Rattus norvegicus: one gene and its partner. The protein of the gene in region 1 purifies or fractionates together with the protein of each later gene. This does not show direct contact. Links are inferred from orthologs where the notes say so. Each region holds a gene or a part of one and is shown on either strand. Other genes may lie near its edges. The genes, in order: Rpp30 and Rpp25l.

What was found.
Region 2: the proteins of Rpp30 (region 1) and Rpp25l purify together in Homo sapiens (co-immunoprecipitation; 3 studies listed by BioGRID and IntAct, counting the BioPlex papers as one, with this or other methods). This does not show direct contact. The link is inferred for Rattus norvegicus from reciprocal best matches to the Homo sapiens genes RPP30 and RPP25L.

The regions. Positions count from the first base shown.
Region 1 is NC_086019.1:243,197,119-243,201,562, forward strand, and holds the start of Rpp30 (ribonuclease P protein subunit p30), read left to right. Parts: upstream 1-1,594; 5' UTR 1,595-1,602; coding exon 1,603-1,684; intron 1,685-2,969; coding exon 2,970-3,025; intron 3,026-4,444. UniProt on the Homo sapiens protein: Component of ribonuclease P, a ribonucleoprotein complex that generates mature tRNA molecules by cleaving their 5'-ends. Also a component of the MRP ribonuclease complex, which cleaves pre-rRNA sequences.
Region 2 is NC_086023.1:61,673,677-61,677,142, reverse strand, and holds Rpp25l (ribonuclease P protein subunit p25-like protein), read left to right. Parts: upstream 1-1,321; 5' UTR 1,322-1,369; exon of another isoform or gene 1,370-1,591; intron 1,592-1,974; 5' UTR 1,975-2,011; coding exon 2,012-2,503; 3' UTR 2,504-2,722; downstream 2,723-3,466. UniProt on the Homo sapiens protein: May be a component of ribonuclease P or MRP.

The DNA of each region.
Region 1 (4,444 bases):
TGATGCACCAGGAGAGAGTGCCTTGGCAGGTCCTTTTATAGCAAGCCAGGCTTGTACCTGCCTGTTGCTAGGCAACTGTTGGGCAGAGCCTAGAAATGCTAACACTCAGGTATAGAGCAAGGGGAATCTAAAAAGGTGAAGTCCATAGTAACATCACCATGACTTTCAAAGAATTCTGTCCCCCCCGAATCTTATCTTAGCATCAAATAACTAAAATTCTATCTTATCTAGATCCTCTACACAATGGCCATTCTATGGACCAATCTAGATTTTGCGATCCTGTATAGAGACACCTCTCTACTACTATAAAGGTTAGAACTGGACACTCTGATGAAAAAAAGCAAGAGTTTGTTTTGTATGGCCTTGCTCTAGTTGCAGAAGTTATTTGGTTGTTGTTTTGCTCTGGGGAAATAAAAAGTATTGGAAACAATCATTTTTGAAAATTAATCAAAAAATAGGTGCAGCTGTGCTCGGCTGTAATCCCAGAACCAAGGATACTGAGCCAAGAAGATTGTGAATTCAAGTCTACCCTGGACTACTAATAATACTGCCTCTGCCTCCCCCTCCTCCTCCTCCTCCTCCTCCTCCTCCTCCTCCTCCTCCTCCTCTTCCTCCCCCTCCTCCTCCCCCTCCCCCTCCCCCTCCCCCTCCTCCTCCTCCTCCACATGATCATCATCATGGTCGTCGTCGTCGTTGTCATCATCATCTTTCAGAAATTTGTAAGAAACTAGAGATCGTTACAGTAGTGTGATCAGAGAGAGAAGACTCCCTATGGTTTGTGATCAGTACAGAAACTGAAAATGCTTCACCTTTCAGCACTTTGGTATTATCCCAATGGACAAGCTCATGATCAGTGGACTTTTCTTCTTTGAGAGACCAGCAGTTCAGAAGTCCTATTGAGTTGCACAAGGTAGGAGCTGCTTATTAGTAATGCGCAAAGGGTTCGCATGCTGGAACGAAGACTGAATGAAGAGGGGTAATGGACTGGCCCTCTATGTCAAGTAGGTTGAAAATCATGCCACCATCTTAGGTTGGTGAATAATTGATCTGTCAATATTGAAGAGTTTGTTTTTTAAGAGTCCATTTTAAAGCAGAAACACCAAATGATATTTTTATATTTCTCATGAAAAATTGTAAAACATGTTTTTATTTTTGCCCCTCCCTGTCAGTCCTCTCGCTAAGGGAATGCTGGCGATAAGCCATCATCTTTGAGATCACTCTGCCATCTTGTGGTTGTAGATGTTGGCTGTAAGGAATTGTCAAAGCTCAAAGAGTTTAGATAATCTTTAGCCACAGACCAAGTACTTCAAAAAACCCTTTGCGGCCATTTTCAAAGAATGGAATGTACTGTGGAAACAGGAAAGAAAAACAACTTTCAATGTCTCTTCATTTTTTGTTCAGTTTATCTGCTTTTGAGACTATGTATTTCAGATCAGCATACTAACTTTGGCGGGCTCTAGGGGGATAGGAAAGTCTCTGCTGACTGAGAAGGGAAAACTACAAATCCCAGGATGCCCAAGGAACAACCTAAACTCCCAGCATGCCTGAGGGGCAACACAGCGGCTGTGCAGACTTGCGCGCGGGTTCTCTTGGGATGTCAGCATGGCGGCGTTCGCAGATTTGGATCTAAGAGCGGGCTCAGACCTGAAGGCTCTGCGCGGACTCGTGGAGACCGCTGCTCACCGTGAGTCTTCTGGCTTCGCGTTGTCCTCCCTACCATCCAGCTTTGTTTGGTAGTTTTTTTCAGGCGCTATTCGGGTCTCGCGTGGGATCTGCCTGACGTCTCTAGAGGCAGATTATAGCTGCAGTATCACCCGGATCCCCTGCGTGAGAAACTCAGAGGCTCTTGACAAAACTGTTGTTACTTGTGTTTGCCCAGTCATTCGTGCAGAGGGAGAGAACAGAGGCCCAGGGGGTGGAGAGATTAGCATAGGACCTACGAGCTGATAAATGATAGAAACGGACTGCACTCCTAAGCCGGCTCTTTTTGAGTCACACGACGTCTGTCAAATACAGAAAGCTGGGTCATGGGCAGGAACTGCTGTGGAAGCTTAGAGAATGGAAAGGGTGTTACCTTATTTTTCTAGAGCATTATAAGTTCCTTGAGGATGAGCATTGATCATGGGAGCTCTCACCTGGCATAGGGCTTGCCAAATAATAGATTCTCAAAACCCTTGTAGAGGAAGGAAAGCAGGGAGTTATTGGGCTGCCTGATAAGAGGAACGACCGTTTTTTGCTTTTTGTTACTTGATTTTTGTTTTTGTCATTACTATGCATTATCTTTAAATATCAATACCCTATCATCCTGTCGGTATTTGGACAACTTAATAGATAAGAGTCGTGATTTAAATCCATTGGGGAGAGGGCACGTATCACAAACAGTACACTAACTGTTGTGATGGTAAGGCAGGCCTGTAGTGTTCCTTGTCTCAGTGTAGAGAGAGTAGTACCTCAAAAGAGGTGTGAGGGAGTCATCCCTCCTTTGCTCCCTAGGAAAGAGGAAATAGAAAGGGTATCGCAGAAGAAGTGAATGAATGATGTCAAAGGTGACAGAAAGACATATAAATCTGAGTTTTTAACATTGTGTGAACATAAACCACAGCCTAAATATGTTCCTGGCTTCTAAATGTCACAGCCAAATATGTGTACTCTTCTAAAACGCTGGGGCTGTTTCACATCATTTTCATGACACTTGAAATTCCTGTCTGCTGTTACCATCATGTGACAGATGAAGAACCTGAAACTCCACCTTAAGTAACAATAAACAGTAGGGCTCAGATCTGCCTTCTGCCCCGCCCCCTTATTGTCTAGGTCTTAGAATTGCGTCCAGGATTTTGCGTATGCTAAGCAAGCATTTTAACACTTAGCTACATCCCTAGCCTCATCCCATACTCTTGAATCTCATATCAGTATGATCACTGTGAACAAGAAAGAATATTTTTTAAATAACCTATTTTTCTATTTTTCAGTGGGATACTCAGTTGTTGCCATCAATCACATTGTTGACTTTAAGGAAAAGAAACGGGTAAAGGAGACTTTCTTGGGTTAATTGGTTACTAAATACAAGTATTTCTAAATATTCATGTCTGGAGTTGGGAATATGAACTAGAAACAAGTATAAGTACTAGTTACTTTTCTTGTTGCTATGACCACATACCTGCAAAAGCAACTTAAGGAGGGGTTTATTTTGCTTATACTCTGAAGGTACAGCCCATCGTGGCAGTAGGGGCATGAGATGGCTGGTCACAGTTTCTCCTCAGTCAGGAAGCAGAAAGAGATGAATGCTGGGGTTCTGCTCACATTGTCCCTTTTAGTTCGCTCGCTCAGGCCCCCAACCCATGATGTAGCACAGCTCCCATTCAGGGTGGAAACACCATTATAGAAATATACAGAGATATGTTTCCATGTTCATTTCTAATTCAGTCTAATTGGCAGTCAGGGATCAATCATCTAAGCGTGTTTCTTTTTTATTAAGGGAAGGTCTTGCATGTCTCTGGTCTGGAACTCACTTTGTTGCCAGGGATGACCTCCTGCCTCTACTACCCCAGTGCTGAGATTACAGGCCTATAGGGAAGGCCTTGTGCACTCACCTTGTGCTTTTTGGAAGGCAGTGTACCAGCTGTATTCCTTAAAACCCCCTGCATTTACTTACTTTAGCAGTTGAACAATCGAACATATATTCATACAAATGACTTTTGTTTTGTTTATGAGAAACTCTAATGCAGCCTAAGGAATCCTGACTTTGAGCTCATATTAACTATGTTACCTTCAAAGATGTTTAAAAGTACATTGCTCTTAAATGAACTGAAAGCATAGTATATCTTCTTGTTTACTTTGTTGCCATGGTCTCATGAACTCATTGATTTCTCTCTTTGATAGACTGTCAGTACGTATATTTCTTTTTAAGCAAACAACTGTATATATGTCATTTCTGTCTTCAAGATTGCTTTTTGTTTTGAGGGTTGTTTTGTTTGTCCTAACAGGGTTTCTGGGTATAGCCCTGGCTATCCTGGAACTTACTCTCGAGACCAGACTTACCTTGAACTCAGAGATCCTCCTGTCTCTGTGAGTGCTGGAATTAAAAGCATGTAGGCATGCACCACCACAGTCTGGCCTTTACTCATGTCCTCTGGTGTTCTTAGCATCTGCCCTTTAGTTTCTTGCCTTAAAAAAGGAGAATAGGCTGGAGAGATGGTTCAGTGGTTAAGAGCACTGACTGCGGGGTTGGGGATTTAGCTCAGTGGTAGAGCGCTTGCCTAGGAAGCGCAAGGCCCTGGGTTCGATCCCCAGCTCCGGAAAAAAAAAAAAAAAGAGCACTGACTGCTCTACCAGCGGTCCTGAGTTCAATTCCCAGAAACCACATGGTGGCTCACAACCATCTATAATGGGGCCTGAAGCCCTCTTCTGGGGTGTCTGAAGACAGCTACAGTGAACTCATATACAT
Region 2 (3,466 bases), on another chromosome or scaffold:
TCAAATGTATTTATTTCAGTGACAATAAACCATAGAGACCACTAAAGCAATGTGTTGGCTTGCTGATACAGGATGGGCTTGGCTGTGAGGATCTGGGTGGTGAAGAGGAGAGCTGCCAACCCCATGGGATGGGACCAGGAGCTATACCCCTGATCTGGTTTGCTGAGAGATAGAGTTCTCTCATCATTTGACTATACAGCGGGGCATTGTATATTTATTTATCTTATATTTGCCAACTACCCTCTAAATATCACATCCTATGGTAAGTAAGGAGGGCATAGGCAGGGACAGCTAATCTCTACACAGGGTTTGGGGAAGACCAGGTAGGCCTGCATGTCAGGTGGTCCTGGAGGAGCAGGAATGGACGTTCAGAGCCAAGGCTGCACTGCCTTGTGTCTACATAATACCAGTAGCCAGAGGAGGAGCCCAAGATGTAAGAAATTTTAGGATCTTGAGAGGAGGAAAATCAGGGTACATTGATGAGAAAACAGGGAGAAACAGTACCGCGCTCCACCCGGTGTATGCTGCCCTCTTGTGGTCTGAGGGAGTGCCTTAGCTCCTTCAACTGCCTGTAGAGTTGCTTCAGCCCAACCTGTAGAGTTGCTGGCATCCAAAATGCAGCGTATCCAAACGGATCTGAAACTGGCAGTCATCCTAAACTATTCTACCCGAATAGTCACCCGCGCGTCCCCAAAACTTCATACAAGTTTCTATCAAGTTTCTACCACCTCTTCTCAATTCTTGCTGTTTCGGTGGTTAACACCTCATTGGACAAATATCGGAGGGCCTATTTTTACCCTGGATACTGGACTAGGCTCTGTGCGCACGCCCCCGTGGCCGAAGCGCTATGATGATGTTGAGTACAGCCCCTTCCCAGGGTCACCAGTATCTGTTGCCCCCACTACCGGATCCGCCATGCTTATAAACCAATCCTCCGTGGCCAATGAGTTATGCACAAGCTATGGCTTAGACCTTACTGAAAACCGCCGGGGTTGATCAGTGTCCCAGGATGAGAACAAAGCTCAGAACTCCGTAACTAAGGGTCTTGCCTGCTTGTACCCACCACGGACGTCGCCTTCGCTGCTGTGCCATCCATCCTTTAAAGGCACAAATCTGCATTCTTCAGGACTCCTCCGATAGCTGTTGCTCTCTCAGGTGGGCCTTCTGCAGGTGCCGGTGTGTACCGCGGACCACTGCGCTGACGCTCGAGGCCGCCCAGGTGACAGCATCAGCTCCTCTGAGTCGAACAGCAACCCGGGTTTCCCTCAGGTCCCGCCCCCTGCGTGCGCGGCCCCGCGGCTCCGCGCGCTCTCGGTCTGCACGCCATCTTGGCTACCCGGTGAGGGTTGAGCGTCTTCTGGCAACGGTGGTAAGAGCCAAATCCCAGGGAGTGGGGACTCAGAGTTAGGGAAAGGGGGATACCTGCTGCCTGGGACAGCGGCCCACGATCGGGGAGTCCGCCAACCGCTCACGAGTGGCCCGAGCAGCTCTCCGGGGAGTCCTCACCCGCGAGTTCCCGAGTGGCCCGGTTCAAGCTAGCCTACTCAGTTAATCTGGGAGTGAGGTCTTCTCTGCCCCCCACACACCGTAGGTGAGACCGATCCTTTCTTTGGGGAGTACTTTGTGAGGGTTCATGGCTGTGCCCCAGGGTCCTTGAAGCCCAGTGAGGAGAACCTGCCTGTTCTTAGAGAGTTGTGGGCCTGGGGTCTGGGACCTAGCCCCGGAGAGCTTGAGATGATGAAGCACAACCCTACCCCAGAGAGCCTAGTTTTTGGGAATTTGTTTTTGTCAATGTTAGAGACTCGTGGATGTATTTAGAAAGGGGTAGATAATTCTCGGCCCCAGCCTTGAAGTGCTGGGGTGAGGGTGTAAAAGCACTCTCCGTGGTGAGGAACAGGACCACATTCTGGAGGGAGTGATGGAGGATGGTCCATGTGATCATGTTCCTGCCACTCATCTGACTCTTTCCCGCAGTGTATATCCAGAGAGTCACCAAAGGCTCGAAAGCAGAATGGAGCACTACCGGAGGGCTGGCTCTGTAGAGCTCCCAGCCTCATCACCAATGCCCCAGCTACCTCCCGACACGCTGGAAATGCGGGTCCGAGATGGGAGCAAAATCCGAAACCTACTAGGGCTGGCACTGGCTCGTTTGGAAGGAGGAAGCACAAGGCACGTGGTGTTCTCAGGCTCCGGCCGGGCCGCTGGAAAGGCCGTCAGCTGTGCAGAGATTGTCAAACGGCGGGTTCCGGGCCTACACCAGCTCACCAAGCTTCGCTTCCTGCAAACTGAGGACAGCTGGGTCCCAACTTCACCGGACACGGGCCTGGACCCCCTCACAGTCCGACGCCATGTGCCTGCAGTGTGGGTACTGCTTAGTCGGGACCCCTTGGACCCCAGTGAATGTGGCTACCAACCCCCAGGTGCACCTCCTGGCCTGGGCTCCATACCTAGTTCCAGCTGTGGTCCCAGACCCCGAAGGAGGGCTCGGGACACCCGGTCCTGACGATCTGCTGGACCTGACTGTACTCTAGACCTGAGTATCTGTGCCTTCTCTAAGAAGTGCTTGTGATTGCTCACCATGCCAGCAGAGTCCACAGAAGAACTTCCCCTCCTCTCTGGAATGAGGGGTGGAACTGTTAAAAGCACTGGTGTGAGCGCAAGGCCCTGGGTTCGGTCCCCAGCTCCGAAAAAAAGAACCAAAAAAAAAAAAAAAAAAAAAAAAGCACTGGTGTGGGTCCGGTCAGTGCTGAGTTAAAGACTGCGTGAGGAGAGCTTACTCTGCCTCTATAGTATGTCTGACTTGCCTTTTCTGACTAGGGAAGGGAAATAAAGGTTGTGCCGCTTTGTTTGGCCTGCGTGTGAGTGGGGCTTGGCTTTATCCCAGGAGCTCCTAGGCTGGAAGCAGGAAGGATACAGAGAGACTGGCAGTGGATGACGGATCTGGTCTCGATGAAAGTTCTAGCAGTAGTAACCTGGATGGCTTCTTGCCGCCTGCTTTAAGCTGGGTTGGGACTCAGCCAGTTGTCCCATCTGTGGCATGCGTATGTTTTAGTGTAGTGGGATCATGAACTCAGCCTTGGCGGTTCAGGGTTTTGATCCTGGTTCTCCTACTCCCAAGTTACTGCTCTGTGGTTTTGGATAAAAGTTCCTTCTCTGGGTCTTAGCGCTCTCATCCAAAAAGTGGGGGGGTGAGGTGCTTACCTCGTTAGAGCTGTGAAGCTTAGAACGAGGTGCACACATCTGCCATTCAGCCTCCACCTGAGCACCCGGTGCTACACAAAAGGAAGCTCAAGCTTACACACGCGCTGTTTCCCTGAGAGCAGACCTCATTCCCACATGTTTCTTCAGATGGCATTCTTGCCTTTTCTCCATTGCTGTTTTTCTCCCTCTCTTTGGCCTTTGATTCCGGTTTCCCACAGGCATCTGAAGTACACTGGGACTGGAAGCAGCCATAGTCTCAGGAATC